Drosophila melanogaster: one gene and its partners. The protein of the gene in region 1 interacts with the protein of each later gene in a pairwise test. Each region holds a gene or a part of one and is shown on either strand. Other genes may lie near its edges.

What was found.
Region 2: the proteins of Ccp84Ab (region 1) and bol interact in a two-hybrid assay, tested with the Drosophila melanogaster proteins (one large-scale study listed by BioGRID).
Region 3: the proteins of Ccp84Ab (region 1) and Marf1 interact in a two-hybrid assay, tested with the Drosophila melanogaster proteins (one large-scale study listed by BioGRID).
Region 4: the proteins of Ccp84Ab (region 1) and CG12723 interact in a two-hybrid assay, tested with the Drosophila melanogaster proteins (one large-scale study listed by BioGRID).

The regions. Positions count from the first base shown.
Region 1 is NT_033777.3:6,701,412-6,704,668, reverse strand, and holds Ccp84Ab (Ccp84Ab), read left to right. Parts: upstream 1-1,791; 5' UTR 1,792-1,849; coding exon 1,850-1,861; intron 1,862-1,937; coding exon 1,938-2,591; 3' UTR 2,592-2,701; downstream 2,702-3,257. Other genes in the region: Ccp84Aa, read right to left, coding at 1-455, 511-522.
Region 2 is NT_037436.4:9,127,299-9,132,163, reverse strand, and holds the start of bol (boule), read left to right. Parts: upstream 1-1,808; 5' UTR 1,809-2,267; intron 2,268-4,865. UniProt on the Drosophila melanogaster protein: RNA-binding protein that plays a central role in spermatogenesis. Required for meiotic entry and germline differentiation, at the transition between G2 and M phases of meiosis I.
Region 3 is NT_033779.5:22,309,971-22,314,966, reverse strand, and holds the start of Marf1 (meiosis regulator and mRNA stability factor 1), read right to left. Parts: upstream 3,041-4,996; 5' UTR 2,929-3,040; intron 1-2,928.
Region 4 is NC_004354.4:13,189,081-13,193,531, forward strand, and holds CG12723 (uncharacterized protein), read right to left. Parts: upstream 2,804-4,451; 5' UTR 2,693-2,803; coding exon 1,922-2,692; intron 1,857-1,921; coding exon 956-1,856; intron 893-955; coding exon 687-892; 3' UTR 563-686; downstream 1-562. Other genes in the region: Coq5 (coenzyme Q5), read right to left, coding at 4,252-4,451.

The DNA of each region.
Region 1 (3,257 bases):
ACAGCGGGAGCAGCGTAGTGGGCGACAGCAGGGGCGGCGTATTGGGCAACGGGAGCGGCGACGGTCTTCACAACGGGGGCAACGGCGACGGCCTTGACCAGGGGCTCACGGTTGACAACGGCGTTGAATCCGTTGATGGGATCGGCGGTGTACTGGACGATCCTCTTGTAGCCGTCAGCGTCGATCAGGGAGTACTCTCCGCGTACCACATCTCCATCGCGCTCCTCCACCTGTCCCTTGTTGTCACCGGTTAGCTTGTCATCGACTCCGTAGGAGAAGCGGTACTGGGGGTGGGGGTCGTACTCCTCGGCGGCCTTGACCACGACCTTCTGGGCGACGGCCACGGGGGCGTGGGCGTAGGTGGCCACCGCTGGGGCAGCGTGGTACACCTGTGGGGCGGCGATGGGGGCATAACCGGCGCTGGCCACGGCGACGAAGGCGAGGGCGAAGACAAACTGGGGAACATATTCGTTAGAGAAACGGGTTCTGGTGGGATACCACAGGACTCACCTTGAATGCCATTTTATAGGGTTTTTGGATTCGTGGGTTAGTTCTTTGCGGAAACGGTGCTGATGGCTGAATGATACGGTTTCTGGCCGGCCAGCGGTTTTATAGCTCCCGCTTGCAGTTTCTGCTCAGGTGAAGCAAGGTGCTTACGCTTGGCCTTCTGAATATCATGCTCCAAATTAGCGCGAAGTCACCGCTCTGCGAAGTCAACGGCAAAGTCGGCAGAGACGCCGGCAGAGAACCAAGAGAGGAGAAGGGATTTGCGAATGCGAGATGCAGTCCAATTATTTAGAAAGGATTCGGCGGATTCGCGCGGTGCCCACGTTAAAATTGGTAGTTGGGAATGGATTGCATCTGCTAATAGCGTTTCGATTATCCAAGATATTTTAAGGATGGGATCGTGGATGTCTGGTGGGTGGCCTTGATTCCCACAGACTTCGCAAAAGGGCATTTATTTTGAATGAAGCAGCGATTTTCTATATATTGTACAAAAATAATGCATTGTGTAATATATTTTTAACGTTTATGTTCTAAGACCCATAAATGCCAAACTCTTAAATGTGTATCTGATAAATTATTATCTGAGTGTAAATAGAATGTTAGGTATTTAGATGTAGCTAAGTAGTTGTGTTCCTTAGGACACTAACGCAGACCCAACTTAGCTTTTAGTTTTTAGAACCACAGTTTTTGTAGTGTCAACCAATTTCAAAAAATATTAATCTTTTTTCAAGAGTTTTTTCTTATCCAGCACAGTGTAAAGTTCATTCAACTCTTTAAGATTGCAAATCCGTTCGTATAATTATAATCATATATGTATAGAGTATTTAAAGAATATCAATCAGATTGCACAGTGAACTCTAAAGATTCGAAAATCTTTAAAAAAACCTAATCAAAATTTTGCGATTTGCTTTGTAAGAAAAAAATATATGATCAGTATATCTTCTTAAAGCGATCTTATACAGCGTTATATAACAAAGTAATTAGCCACACATTGCGGCCGGCAAAGCCCTTTCGGTATTACGCAAACCTTTCCCCAAAGATCTTTCACTCTTTCGGTGCTGACGGGTTTAGAATCTGTGGCCACAAGCATTTGCACACCCACTGAGCTTAGCGCCACGAACAGGAAGTACAAGTTATTGCCCGACAACAATCGCAGTCGAGAAGCATTTAATATATTTCGCTGTCACCGCGAAAATAACACGTGCTGTCGGCGTATTGGGCCAAAGCAGAGCAGAGCTGGCAGCTTGATTTACTATAAAAGTTGTCGATCGGACACAGAAAAGTATCATTCGCAGATCCAGTTCACTTCTGTAAAGAACTACCAATCAGCACTCCTAGCAACATGGCCTTCAAGGTGAGTCATCTCGATGGAAATCCGGGATCAACTGTATACGAAATTCCGGTTGGATATCTAACGCTCTTGAATTTAGTTTGTCTTCGCCCTCGCCTTCGTCGCCGTGGCCAGCGCCGGTTATGCTCCCATCGCCGCCCCACAGGTGTACCATGCTGCCCCAGCGGTGGCCACCTACGCCCACGCCCCCGTGGCCGTCGCCCAAAAGGTCGTGGTCAAGGCCGCCGAGGAGTACGACCCCCACCCCCAGTACCGCTTCTCCTACGGAGTCGATGACAAGCTAACCGGTGACAACAAGGGACAGGTGGAGGAGCGCGATGGAGATGTGGTACGCGGAGAGTACTCCCTGATCGACGCTGACGGCTACAAGAGGACCGTCCAGTACACCGCCGATCCCATCAACGGATTCAACGCCGTTGTCAACCGTGAGCCCCTGGTCAAGGCCGTCGCCGTTGCCCCCGTTGTGAAGACCGTCGCCGCTCCCGTTGCCCAATACGCCGCCCCTGCTGTCGCCCACTACGCTGCTCCCGCTGTGGTCAAGACCGTTGCTCCAGTTGCCCACTACGCTGCTCCTGCTGTGGTCAAGACTGTGGCCCCAGTGGCTCACTATGCTGCCCCCGCTGCATATGCCACCTATGCTGCTCCCACCCACTACGCAGCTCCCGCCCACTATGCCGCCCCCGCTGCCACCTACACCTCGTACTCGGCTCCCGCCGTCGCCTACCACCACTAGATCCTGGCTAAAATCGACGCTGTACATATATAGAATTGTTGGCTTTATTATAACTGTTCATTTATTTATTGACAGCACCAATAAAAAAATGCATACAAAAATGTAGACATATATCACGAAAGACTAGAGTGTTTTGTGTTGCTTATTCAGAGGTAAGTTCCTGGCAAAGGACTCTCAGAGGTCGTTCACATTGTCCTGTTCTGGTTTGCATTATTTATGTGCTTGTTTTCATAACGAGTTCTTGCCTTCAGTGTGCGAAAAAGTTCACAGACATCGTAGGAGCCAGCCTCGCCGAAGGATTCTTAGGAGCATTAGGGCAATGCAATTCTTGTGGTGCTTTTGGTGGTGCAGTCTGGACTTTTGTTAAGCTATCCTTCAGGGATGCTGCCAGGGGCAACGAACTTCGTTGGCCTGCTTGATGATTTCGTTACGAATGCGGATCTTGATCCTGATCCCGATCCCCTGTCTGTCTGAAGGGCAGACAAATTTCTGGGCTTTGTGTCGGTCATTTCCATTTAAATGGCAGGACTCGTCCACCGCAATGCAAAGAGAATCCCTTTGTTGTTAATTTTTGTAATATAAAACGGAAATTATGGGGTCATGACTTTACTTGCCGGGTGATAAATGGCCGGGTGATAAAATGGGCCATCCCGGCCAGCCGGGCTA
Region 2 (4,865 bases), on another chromosome or scaffold:
GACGATAACTGAAACACCAGAACATGCTTTCGATAGAGTTGTTGTGGACACAATTGGTCCACTACCCAAGTCAGAAAATGGTAACGAGTACGCAGTCACTCTCATATGTGATTTAACCAAGTACTTAGTTGCCATACCAATAGCAAATAAAAGCGCAAAAACAGTCGCAAAAGCTATATTTGAATCTTTTATTCTAAAGTACGGTCCAATGAAGACGTTCATAACGGACATGGGAACAGAGTATAAGAATTCAATAATTACTGACCTGTGTAAATATTTGAAAATAAAAAATATAACATCAACAGCTCATCACCACCAGACAGTTGGAGTAGTAGAAAGAAGTCATAGAACTTTAAACGAGTATATACGATCCTACATATCGACGGACAAAACCGATTGGGACGTATGGCTTCAATATTTCGTATACTGCTTCAACACGACCCAATCTATGGTACATAATTATTGTCCATATGAATTAGTTTTCGGTAGAACAAGTAATTTACCAAAACATTTTAATAAACTACATAGCATAGAACCAATATATAACATAGATGATTACGCTAAGGAGAGTAAATATAGGTTAGAGGTAGCATATGCTCGAGCAAGAAAACTTCTTGAAGCACACAAAGAAAAAAATAAAGAAAATTATGACTTAAAAATAAAAGACATAGAATTAGAAGTAGGAGATAAAGTTTTACTAAGAAATGAGGTAGGTCATAAATTAGACTTTAAATATACGGGGCCCTATAAGATAGAAAGCATAGGAGATAATAACAATATTACGCTACTTACTAATAAAAACAAAAAACAAATAGTTCATAAAGATAGATTAAAGAAATTTCATTCATGATTGAATTTAAACTTATATTTTCCTTAATCATTTATACAAATTTTCCATACACTACGTATATTTTTATCTTTGCATTATAAAATCAACTATTGTTGTTCAAACAAAAACACAAACAAAATAAAAATAAAAATAAAATAATTTGCATTTAATAATCAAAATAACTTCACTAGGTTACGTTATTTTTCAAAAGGAGGGAGATGTAGTATGTGCCTATGCAATATTAAGAACAATTAAATAAAATAGCATATTAACTTATGGCAGCACTTTGTTGCTATGTTTATGTTTATGCACGCAGTTAGGCCAGGGCGGATGTAACATGATCACCCACTCGAAGGCCACAAAGTATAAGTGCATTGCCCACTCGAAGGCAAAAAGTATAAGTGCATGGTCAGCATTCACACGCCGACCAAATACATATTACATACGTACATACATATCTCGCTCTCCCGATAAGCCTAGATATATAAGATATACATAAGAACGCCGCTCCGCTGCTGGCGTACCCGGCAGCGCAGCTACGCGGATTAGCCTAAGTCAAAATATATAAAAAACTGTAAAATCGGAGAGACTCTGTAGACGTTGAGCTGACAGAACCATTTCTGCCTACTCTAAAATCAAAAGAAGAAATTGAATAAATATATGTCAGCCCGACGGCTGCCTTCAACTTAAAACGGACTTGTGTTCTTAATTGGAGTTCATCATTACACGAGAGCAGTTGTAGAACTAAAATTGTTGTGCTATATCGCTAAACGGTGAACGGTAAATATTGAAGAGAGTTTTCCTGGCTTCAATTTTCCTTTGCAATCGCCCCCACCATCCTTGGAATTTTGGGTTTTTTGGAAGAGAAAAACACATGTGGTGTGTCGCCACAGTGTTTTGGTTTTTCTCGGCCGCCCAAGTAGACGGCGCGTAGTTTTTCATTTTGACGGGAGTTTTCCTTTCGGTCGTCGCCTTACACTCATTTCTAATTGTGATTCGTAGGAAGTAAGTTGTCTAGTGCTATATATATATATATTCAAGTAAAATTGTTTTAAATCGGAACACACAACAATAATATATACAAGTAAACACCACTAAATATCGGAAAAGAAAGAAGAGCAAATAATTAAATTACAAAAGAAACCAAGAGAATATCAAGCTAAATCCCATCATCCCATCATCCCATCGTTTTTGGTCTTCTGGTTCTTGTTCATCACCGACGTTATTGATATTGATATTGAATACTGGATATTAAGATACATATATACAAACGCATCGTATCTGGGATAAACGTTCATCACAAGGAATATTAATGATACGCAAAGGCTGTAACTGTAAACTGTGTCCCCTCTCACGTAAGACGTAACGTAAGGCAGCCTGTGGAAACGACGTAGTTTGGACGCAATCAGAAAAATCTCCAAGGAGGACGCAGCTAACGGTGAGTTTTCCTGATGACAGAACAGGGGATTGCTTTTGGGTGGGGGGAGGATGAATGTCACTCGCAGGGAAAATGAAAAATGCCAGGCGAAAATTCTTGGCCATGCAACTCGTTTGGCCGCTCTGCCTCTTTCGCTCCCGCGTACGCTTATGTGTGTGTTTATGCAGCGGAAAACGTGTATTCTTGAGAAAAACCAGAAAATCGAAACCCGGAATTGGGTCAGTATGTCACACGCCGTCCCGCTCCCACCGATTCCAATTCCGATTCCGATTCGAGCTGCTAGTCTGGCTAAAAACTCTGGCTAAAACGTGTTTCGTGCTTAGTCAATTTGTTCTTTTTCATCTAGTCGCAGCTGCGCTGCCGCAGTTGGCGTCGCTGCACGGCCACTTGACTAAAAGCGGCCTAAACAGCATCGCCTCCAGAATGCCTAAAAAACAAAACAACAACATGTAGTGCCGCTGCACGTGTGCGAAAGAGAGGGCGGCGAAAGGTGGGAAAAAGACAGAATGTCTGTCACCCGCGCGACCAACTTAAATACCCTGTACTTATGTGAGGGAATATTGTAGAACAGCTTATTAGTATAGATTCTACACAATAAAACCGTTTAATCATATCACGAAATATTGATAATTAGTACATACAAAACATATGTGGTTTTGTCAGCATAACAAATAATATTATAATAATATAAGGTCAATACATGAGATTTTTAGGCCCTAATATAATTTTCCTAGAGGCAGAACTGCTTTTTTATTTATTATTAATTGCTAGATTCTTTTATACAAAGATAGTTACTTTTTAACTTACACATGTATGTACATATGTATGTGAATGTACATATATGTATATGCTGAGTATCTCCTATTCGCCAGCTTATCTTTTGTGATGTAAAATGATAAATGGCTCGCTCTCCGACTTTCGTAGTTTTGCCTCTCTCTAGTTTTTCGGCCACTCGCTTCACTTGATCTTGCACTCGGATTTCGGCCGAGTTGCAGTCGACAGCGCTGTCAGCGTCGACGGCGACTGCGGCGGCGGCGCTTTTACCTTGAGCACGCCTGCACTTGTCACAGCCCCTCCCCCCGCCCACCGACTCACACGCCGTTTGAATTTGAACTTCTGAAAAAGCCAACACCTTTCGAAATTGTAGCCGCTTTTATTTCTTTTTCTTTTGCCTCCGAGCAGCGGCATTTTTATATTTCTGATGTTTGCTAATAAAATTATTACGACTTGGCCGACAGCGGCTGCTAATGCGTTTTAAGGTCGCCGACGCTGCTCTTGTTGATTTTGATCCAATAAAAAAATGTGATGATGCCCCGCTTAGATTTCTCGGTCCATTTAACATGTGTCCATTGGCCCAGGATCCGATTTGATTTATTTCAAAGTTATTTATTATACAGTCAGGCGAAAAGCAAAACAAACATGAATGGGGAAAATTGAAGGCAAATGGCAGACAGCTGGTGCTCATTTTCCGGGATGCGAAAAAGGGATAGAATTGGGATAGTGCACTGAGAAAAATCAGTGAAAGAGTTCATATCATATCATACTGCATATGTTTGCATCTCAAGAATCTCTTTGTATGAGTAGAGATCAAATGGATAAGGAAACAGCTTTCGTTCATGAGATGTCTATCTCTAAAAACTACTTATAGGTGGAAATTTATTCTAGACAAGGGTAGAGAGCACTGCAAATACGTATCCAAAAACAACTCCCCAGATAATTCATCATTACATCATAACCGTTGCGAATTCATGACTAATGGCCGATGATTTTTCTCTCTGTGGGGAATACGCGACGTCGTGGGATAGGGATAACAACACGGAAGAGGCTCCATTATAGGTTGCTGGTTTACTAGTTAACTGGGCTCCAGCCAAGGGAGCGAAAGGGAAAGGTGACGAACGAGAGGGAGAGAGCGAGAGAGCTAGGGGGAATCTGAATTACAGAGAGTGGGCGGGGGTGGTGACACTGACAGTGGAGCACCTTCGTCATCGTCAAACATTCGGGCTGTATAAGAGCAATAAATAATGCACACGAAGAGCAGTGATGAGAGCCAATGATATGGGAAAATATCGGACGAGAAATTCGACAGAGAGAGAGAGAGAGAGAGAAAGCGGAGAGAAATTTGGGGGGCGAGCGTAAGAGATTCGCCTTGGGGGGTTGATTGTGTTTAATTTTTGCACTTAAGAGCGCAAAAAGTGGCTTTGATTTTCCGCCGGCCCTTCTCACGCAGCTTGGGGCATGCCAACTTTGATGGCCGATTTGACCAACCCCCAGGAGGGAATTCCCAACTTGGCTCATTAAATTGATAACATTAAGCAGGCGATATTTAATTTGATTTTCTCCAGACACAAACACAATCTGATACACAAATTGTATAGATTCTATAAGTTATAGTTTTCTGAAGATTTAAACTTAAAACAAAATTACTGTACTGTTTTCATAGTGTAAAATACCTATGCTAATTTTAGTTTTCGTGGCACTTTTAAATATTATACATAAGCATGATAATTTGTCAAAGTTTCTTGTAGTGCATATATTTTTCGCAGAGAGCATCCACTCAAAAATATTTCCGTATTCTTGGCAACATTGTTGTTGGCGATG
Region 3 (4,996 bases), on another chromosome or scaffold:
TTTGGCCGGATAAAGATTTTCGTAGATGAGAAGTCTGCTTCCGCGATTATTTTTGATTACGGAAACAGTTAAAAGGTACGAGAGAGCATCATCACTATGAATGATGGCAATATTAGTTTTGGTAAATCAACGTAGGTGATTGGAAGGCCTCGATTTACTTTTCTTGAGACTGCCTGATGCCGGCTTTTATAAACTTTTTAAGCTCTGTTCTATATCTTATTTGATGATCTTTAGTTTTTGTGAAGAACTGACGTCATCGACATACACGTAGCATGTTTATTTAAGATCTGTTCCGCAAAGCATCATCGATTGTCCTTTGGAAAAAATTTGGTGCAATTTGCAGTCCGAGTGGTGCAGAATGCAGTTCTGTAGTTCTGTAGAAATGCAGTTCGTCATTAAAAAATATTTCAGGGGTTTCCCTGTATTTCTCTAATTACTCGATTTGATGGAATTACGATTTAAGGTCCGATGTTGTAAAATGTGGAGCTTTTCCCATAATTTGAAGTATTGTAAAGTATTCAGCGTCAATAGCGTTCTTTAGTTTCTTAAAATGGATAACGATACGTTTTTCTTATTGCCATTTTCACAATGTCCTTTTTTATCGAAAACACACACGCGGTTGTTGTAAGGTTATCTCGATTTTCTGATTATGACCTATGCGATACGCCCATTGGGAAAAGGTTATTTTTAATAATTACGCGTTCCCAATCGGATTGGATAGTAGCGATTTTATTAAGGAATGGCTTGATAAGGGTCTGCAAATGTCCCGGTCCCGGTTGCCAAGGCCCTCGACGATTCAATAATACAATTATCATTATTGTGCCGCTTTCATGTTCTAGAGAATTCTTTACGAAAATAATATTTGCATTTACCTTCTTAACAAAGTCCAGTCCAAAATGAGAAATAAGTGGCTAAGACCGCATATGCGTTTTCCCCACTTTATTGTGGACCGGTAGTGCCTGAAAACCGCATAGGTCTCCAATTCCCTTGACTCCCTTGACTCCCGAATTCGGGCAAAGAAGTTTGCTCATAGACATCTACGGTTGGGGATGTGACCTAGGAAGCTAATTAATTTTCTTTTCAAATATTACTTTGCTTTCATGGTTACCTGAAATGTATACACATTTTGTACTCCCTGGTTACATTAAAACATTACATGTGCTTTTTTTTTACTAATTTGTTTTCAGATTTTTGAACCTTGCTGAAGTTCATTTTCACACCTTTCCAAACTTCTGCAGAATTTGTTAAGATTTTGTACATTGATTTTTCTTCAGATTTTGTTGACAATATTCAGAATTTCGTTAAGTAGTAGTTAAGTAACATTTCTTCCGAATTAGAAAGCGCTGCAATCTTAATAAAACCAAACTGAATCCTCATTTATAATGGTTTCTTAATGACTCCGCCCCATTTCTGTCATCGCCGTCTGTCCGTTGTTCCAGGTCACCTCCAACACCTGTACCATCACACAGCATTTGGATTACTTAAAGGATTACCTTTTGTAGGCGGAATATAATTTTTCCAAATTACCAACGTTTTTCCGCGGCATAGAGTTAAAAAAATGTACATTTACTTTATGCGAAGAAAATCTAGGCTCAACAGGCTTTCCAGGTAATTATTAATCGAGGGAGCGTATGGTGATCTGTCTTAAGCGGTTAACTTTAAGCTTGTAATTTTCATAATATATAGGAAGATGAGAAACACAGCACTCATCTTATACATACATATTTCAAATATATATTTTAATACTAGGTAATACTTAATACTTAAGAGGTAAGACAAGAAATTACGATATAGTCGAGTTTCTTGATACCGGATACTCAGATAGTGGGAGAGCACAAGAAAAATGTACTGTTTCATTTTATTAGGTTATCGATTAAAATTGTCAAAAAAACTGTAGACAAATAAAATAATTTTTCGAACGTGTGGGCGGCTTGAAGTTGAAGTGGCTTGAAGTAGAGTGGCCGTGGGCAAAATTGTTTTCGCATATAGATTCTGATCGAGTGATAACAGCAAACTATCCAACAACAATTCGACACCTGTTTAGGTTCATGATATAAAAAAATGCTTCCACGAGCAGGATTTAAGATCATCCGCACAACTATCACATCATTAATTTTTTGTACAATAAAAAATAAAGATATTTTTTTCTAAGCTTAAGCCATGTGGTGTATGCTCACTTCATACTGTACATATTTTATAGGCTCGGGAAATTATACGAAAAGCGTGCATAATGAGCCATTTTATTTTATTAACTCGAATTTATTTAATCTGTTTTAGCCCTAGCTTAAATTGTTACGTATGTTTATGTGTACATCAATATAAATCCCAACACTCTTCATAAGATGCACGCGTAGCAACACGACACATCCTCCTTTCCAATCCACAACACACATCAATATCAATTTCCAACCAATTTGGTTGGAAAACAGTTTCAATTCAACTATCTATATGAATATGAATATGTGTTTAAAATCGTCGGATTTTGTGAATACTAAACGAAAAGGAAATTTAAAATATAATATCCGAATTGGTTTCAAAACTTGCGAAGTGCTGCAGACCATCAAAATAAATGTGCTTATGGTTGAATTTGGGTTGCATTTTTATCGTGCACTATACAAATTCTACATGAATTTAGTTTTAAGCCATTTTCTTGGCATACATGTGCGTACATAAAAATGTGTATGTATATGTATACTCCCGCGCGAAATGCAGTCAATGTAATGTTCGTTAGCACTTGTTTAAGTAATTTGCCTAGAGCCTTAACCAGTCATTGGATTATTAAAATGATTAAAATCGTTATTCATAGATCATTCTTAATTAATATTGGTACTATAATCATAGGCTTAGATTAAGTAATATAGTAATTCAATTAATATTTTACTAATGGTCATGCCACTAAGAATATTTATTAATATTTGTTGTACTTACATGATTGTATATGAACTAATTATATAATTTACGACAATAAAACTCAAAATTCACTTAAAACAACACGGCACATGCGAAGCTTAGACTTTGTGATCCCTTAAACAACTGAGGAGGCTACGTGTGTAGAAAACATTGATGACTTGTGTGGAGGCTGGAAGGTGGCGGGCATAGGCACTGGAAGGTGATTGAAAAGTTTGGGGTTAATTAAATTTTTATTATTTTGATTAAATAATTTTTCTTTTTGTAGTTTTATAAAATTGTCTTGGCTCAATTGTAGTTTCTTTAACAAGCACCTTGTTCAACAAACAAAAAAAAAATAAAAAAAGGAAAAATTGGGAGGAAATTCAATTCATCCAATGAACTTACAGATATACAACAAGAGAGAATGCTATAGTCGTTTTCCCCAACTATCAGATACCCTTTACTCAGCTAGTATGAATGCAAACGCGAAATTTTTATCATTTTTGTGGGATATCGATAGATATTGGGGAATAAAATGAGAAGTAATTAAAAATTGTTCAAATGTGTGGGCGTGACCACTTCGGCGGCTTCTTGGCGTTACAGTGGGCGTGGCAAAAAGTTTTTGTCAAATCGACTAATAACTGACAGTTTTGGGCGGCTTGTGGCCGTTAGAGTGGGCGTGGCAATATGCGTCAACAAACTTGCGCTGCGTCTATGTCTCTAGAATCTGTATGCTTAATCTCAACCGTCTAGTTCTTATATTTCCTGAGATCTCGACGTTGACACGGACAGATCGACTCCGGCTATTGATCCCTATCAAATATATTTATACATATGTAAGCTCTATACAGTCGGAAACGCTTTCTCCCGACTGTTACATACTTTTCTACGAATCTGGTATGCCTTTTTGACTCCACGAGTGACTCTTATAACTACCAATACAATTATTTACTACAATATTTTGGCTCATCGTGATATTACAGACTTTACTATTGCACAGAGTGAGGGAATTTATAAAGAACATAATAATTTTGGATTGAACAAATTTCTCGAAATCCGTAATAAAACTCAAATCCTTATCTGAATTCAAAATCACACAACTTCAATACAATTGGGTATTTGTATCAATATCCACCAAGTTACCCACAATATTCTCAACCCTTCCATCCTAATTTTAATCAATACCACCCAATTATTTCAAGTCCAGCCCATATATCAGCATTCAACCAAGTATTCCCAAAAGTCATTTCCAACAAATCCAAAATCCTCAAACAGCACATTTTATAAGAAATACATACCCTCAACTACAATACAACAAGCCTCCACAACTAAGAATTCTAACTTCAAAATGTCTATTGACGAAATGAGATTCCAAGACGCACATGAATTCGAACAAGTCCAACCTAATTATTACGAACAACAGTATTATGACCAAAATCAATACAATCCATATCAAAATCATGGGTTCATAAATGAAGGGCAACAACCGATCCAACCCGTACAAATTAATAACGAAATATTATATATCAAAATATATATATATCAAAATGGTTCTGAACTAAACGAAAATTTTCGGTCAACGGCCCCGACAACACGAATACATAAAAATAGTATACAAAGGGTGCACATACAAATGCCTACTAGATACAGGATCAACAAATAATATGATCAATGGAAAATACATATCAAAATAGTATATGTGAAGTTTTAACATCAAATGCCTACTACTTCGAAAAGCTTGATTATCTTACCCAGCAATAGTATTTTAAAAATAAATCAAACATTTCATGTACACAGTTACGATAATTAGCATATCGTAATTGGTAGAAAATTGTTGACAAATGCGCAATCAGTTAGAAATTAATAAATAATTAATTACCTCAGAATCGGAAAGAACCCAGAATTTTTATATCCAAAAAACACCAATCCAATTACAATCCTGATTTATATCAGGAATCAAAAAGAAATTGATTTTTCACAATATCAATTACATCATCTAAATAAGGAGGAATATTTTAAATTGAGAAGTTTATTAAATAAATTTAAAAATCTTCAATATAAAGGAGGAGATAAACTGACATTTACAAATACCATTAAATAGGTACTA
Region 4 (4,451 bases), on another chromosome or scaffold:
GTAAGATCGCGGATCGGTGGATCCAAAAATATATATGCGCGGTATATAGTCGGAATATAGTCGATTTTTGGTCCGCAGCAGACGCGCGTTCGCCGCCAACGATAACAAACAACTGAGCTGAAAAAAAGGCGAGCGAATGCCTGCAACATGTGGCATGCGGCCTTTCCAGGTGCCCCGCCCACTGGCGCCGCCCAGCCGACCGCCCAACCGCCCACTTTTCACCCAACCAAGCACACAACGCACTCATTCAGCGCGCCGGCTGGCAATTTATGAATGAAAAGCTGAACGGGAAAAGCTCCAAAGAAACCAACGAACGCCAAGTTCAAGGTGAAAAGCCCTTTGGGGGAAAAGCGCGCGCCGGAAAAGCTCAGGAAATGAAAATGCGCCGAGCCAAAGGGAATTTCCTAATGAAATTCAAATAGATAATATGTATGTGCCAAAAGGAAATAAACTAAGATATTATGTCTATATCTCGCATATACTTTGCAATAGAATTAGTTATTTAAATTATTTATTATATTTATTATTATTACGCAATAAATAAACGATCTGTTCAATTTTTCGATAAATAACTTATTTAATAGCAACATAATTTACAATACAAGTAGAGCACAAATGAACGAAGGCTTAAAAAAAAAAAACAAAAAAAAATTTGAAAAGATCCCTAGGTGGAGTGAGTGGTGGACTCAGTAGTGGTGGTAGTTGTGGCCCTGTTGCTGCTGTTGCTGCTGCTGCTGCTGCTGCTGGTGCTGCTGCTGCGCCAAGTTGGCCTGGGCGAAAATGTGCTCCAGCTCGGCATCGGTCAGCTGGTCAAAGATGCCGCCCTGACCACCGATTCCGGCACTACTGGCACTCAGGGCCGACGGTTGGGATCCCACGGGTGGCAGGTAACCTGGAAAATATTCGTTTGAAATATAGCATAATAATATATATCCATAACGTCATCTGAGCTCACCTTCAGCTGGCGCACTTCCGTATGGCGGGAGCAGGGTGATCGAGGGTCGATTCGGCGACGCTGGCGCGGATTCGGTGGGTGGACTATAGAATACCGGCTTCCAGGGCTGCTGGACGGATGGCCGCTGTGGTGGCACCTCCGACGGCGTCTCCGGCTCGGGTGATTGTGGGGGAATCTGCGGCGAGGCTATACCCGTGCCGGATTCAGGGCGGACGGGAGTGGAGCCCGGCAGCGGTACAATTCCGCCGGGGAATTGCGACTCTGGTTGGCCAAAAGTGGGTGGCTGCTGCGGCAATGGTGGCTGTGGAGCAGCCGGAAAGAATTGGCTAGTTGGTGGACTGGGGAAGGCCGGGACCGTGGGTACAGCTGGAACTCCTGGAACGGAGGGAGGTGATGGAATGGCTGGCGCCTGGGGGAACTGGGGAATCTGGGGAAAGCCGGGAAATTGAGGGAATCCGGGAAATTGTGGTATTTGGGGTATCTGCGGTATGGCCGGAATCTGTGGAATGGCGGGAACCTGTGGCACTTCTGGGGCTTCTGGTGCAGCTGGAACTGCCGGCTGGGCGGGCACAGCGGGTTGGGCTGGCACCGCTGGCTGAGCGGGCTGGAAGCTAAAGGTCGGCACACCGGGGAACTGAGGCGGTTGTGGGAACTGAGGGATCACCGGCAAATCCACAGCTGGGGGAGACGGAACACCGAAGGTCACTGTAGGTTGGATGGGTTGAACCGGTTGAAGGGGCTGAACCGGTTGGATTGGGCTAACTGGCTGCAGATGGGTGGTCACCGGTTGCACCGGTTGAAGGGGCTGAATGGGCTGGAGATGATGAACTGGCTGCACTGGCTGCACGGGCTGAACAGGCACTGCCGGAGCAGTCGGAGCATAGGTCTGCACATAAGTGGGCTGCAACAGAAAAGAATGAAATGGTCAACGGGATATTCCACAAGTTTCCTATGTAGCTAACTCACCTGCACGGCATGCACATGGCCATGAGCCGGAGCATGGAAGTGGACAGGCTTTACGGCGGACTGAAAGACCACGGGCTTCTGCAGGTGCTGGTGCGGATAGTTGACGCTGTACGAGGAGACGACCGCATTTCCGGGACGCAGGACGTACGAGGGCGGAGCCACGGCGGTGGACAAAGCGGTGGCCACGCCGGTGGACAAGGCAGTAGCGACTCCGGCGGGAATGGCACTGGCCACGCCACCGGGCAGACCGGTGGGCAATCCAACGGGCAGGGCTGAGGCGACGGCGGGCAGCAGGGCAGCGGGTGCGGGAGCTAAGGCGGGCAGCAAACCGGAACCGGAAACGAGCGGCTTGACCAGACCATGGCCGTATTTGACGAAGTGGCGGCGCGGAGGAGCGGCGGCCAGGAAGGCACTGCCTCCTGGCAGCTGCAGGCTATAGCCGTAGTGGGCGGCATAGGTGCGGGCGGGCCATTGGCCGTGCAGGTGGGCGTGGCCGTGTAGAATGCCACGCTTGTGCTTTCCGGTCGTGACCTCCACTTCCGTTTCCGGTTCGGTAACCACACTGGCCGTTGGGGCACTCTCCGCCACCGATTCCTCTTGTAGCGGGGCATCCTCGGAGGTCACTGTCAAAGTGGGCGTTGTGCTGGCGGGGGGCGTGACCGATCGACTGGTGTGACGCAAACGTAAGCCCGCCTCAGCTCGATGAGAAACCAAGATGACAGCCAAGACCATCAGAAGATGGAGGCTCCTCGAACTGGCCAAGAGATTCATTTCGATTCAGTGGACTTGATTTCTATATGCGTATATTTGGACACTATGTAATATATCGCCTCGCCTCGCGTTTAATCCGTTTGCTGCGATCGCCGACAAGAAAATGAAATGAACTTCCTTGGTCGCTGTTGTATTTATAAAGCGGACATCGCGGCACAGTGGAGTGGCACATACCCACTGTGCATACCAATCGGTGGCACTGGTGGTGCTAGCAATGCACCACCGTCAGCGGCTCATCGGCATGGCATACGGCATGGATTGGGCAGTTTATGACTTTTACGCTGCCATTTCACCTGCCGCAATCGAAGACCCCTCACCCACTGACCACTGACCACTGAGCAGCGCCTCATTATGCTGCGCCACCTGACCACGCACTGTGGTACCGTAGATTGTGCGCATATATATGGTATGTATATTCCTCAAGTATGGAATATTCCTACTACACTTCATATCTAAGTTTACTTCTTATTCAGATATCGAGATTATTATCATAAAAATCTAAAAGGCTAAAACTCTATATAGTTTGCCAACAACTTTGCCCACTAGTCCCACTGATTGCCTGGCCCCGCTCCACTGTCCCATTGGCCGGAATCCACCTACGCATGCGCAGCACGTTGCCGCACGCACCAAACTTTTGCTTTCAATGGCCTGCATGTTCCGCATGCTTTTTGTGCTCAGTTTTTTTTGTTTTTTATCGCCGGACTCTTTTCACTTTCGATTGCCGGAGATGGAAGGTCCGAAGGTTTATGATTTGGCTGCAATTTAGATACAAATCAAATGTGTCTCCGCTTACATAATCCGGCCAATAATATGGGCGGCTATTCGGGTGTCCAATCCGTGTTAATCAGTCGCCGGGTGAAAGCATAATAAAGCCATTGTAATAAAAGCAAAAGCGCACAATTGCAAAGCACCAATTAGCAATTACCTATTAAGCATGGCACGGTCAATTATTTTGATGGCATTTCAATGCTATTATTTGAATTTCGTTAAAATTCAACATTCACACGCATAAATTTCACCTGCACTACATCTGATGGCGAACTGAAGTCAATAGATAAGTGGATAGTTTCTGCATTATATCACATCCCATCGCCGTAAATGGACTTTCGATTAGCCTACATGGAGATTTTCACTTTTTTTTGGAAACGACCCGTTGGGTGTGTGGAATTTAAATCGATTACAGTGCCTTACACCTGGCATCTGGTACAGTTCGGTTATTGGGCTACCACCATATCGCCCTTTGCATCTAAGTGGGTCTGGCACACAATCCTCAAGGTCTTTCCCAGGCCTTGCCGCCGGAGATGTCATCAGTTTGCCGTTTGGGTTTGCCTTTTGGCACATGAAGTACATATATTTGACAAAGAGCTACATAAACCTCAAAATGTAAACATACAGAAATAAAAGCCGCCAGAGGAGCTTGTTTAATTCGATGCTTTATGACCTGCCCGACGTGAGCAGCATGAAAAAACGCAAAAAACCAACAATATAGATTATAGTTAAGCCCCATCAAATGGTCTTAGGATTTCCTAATCGCTTACAACAAATATCATCCTCGGCTGTCACAGTTTGAAGCCGGAGTGAATGCTGACCACGCCGAAGGTTAGGTTCTCGTAGGACACCTGATCGAATCCGGCCTGCTCGATCATTTGCTTGAATTGCTCCTGCTTGGGAAACCGTCGGATGCTCTCAACGAGATACTGGTACGCCTGCCACTGACCAGCCAGCAATTGGCCCATGGGCGGAATCACCTGGAAGGAGT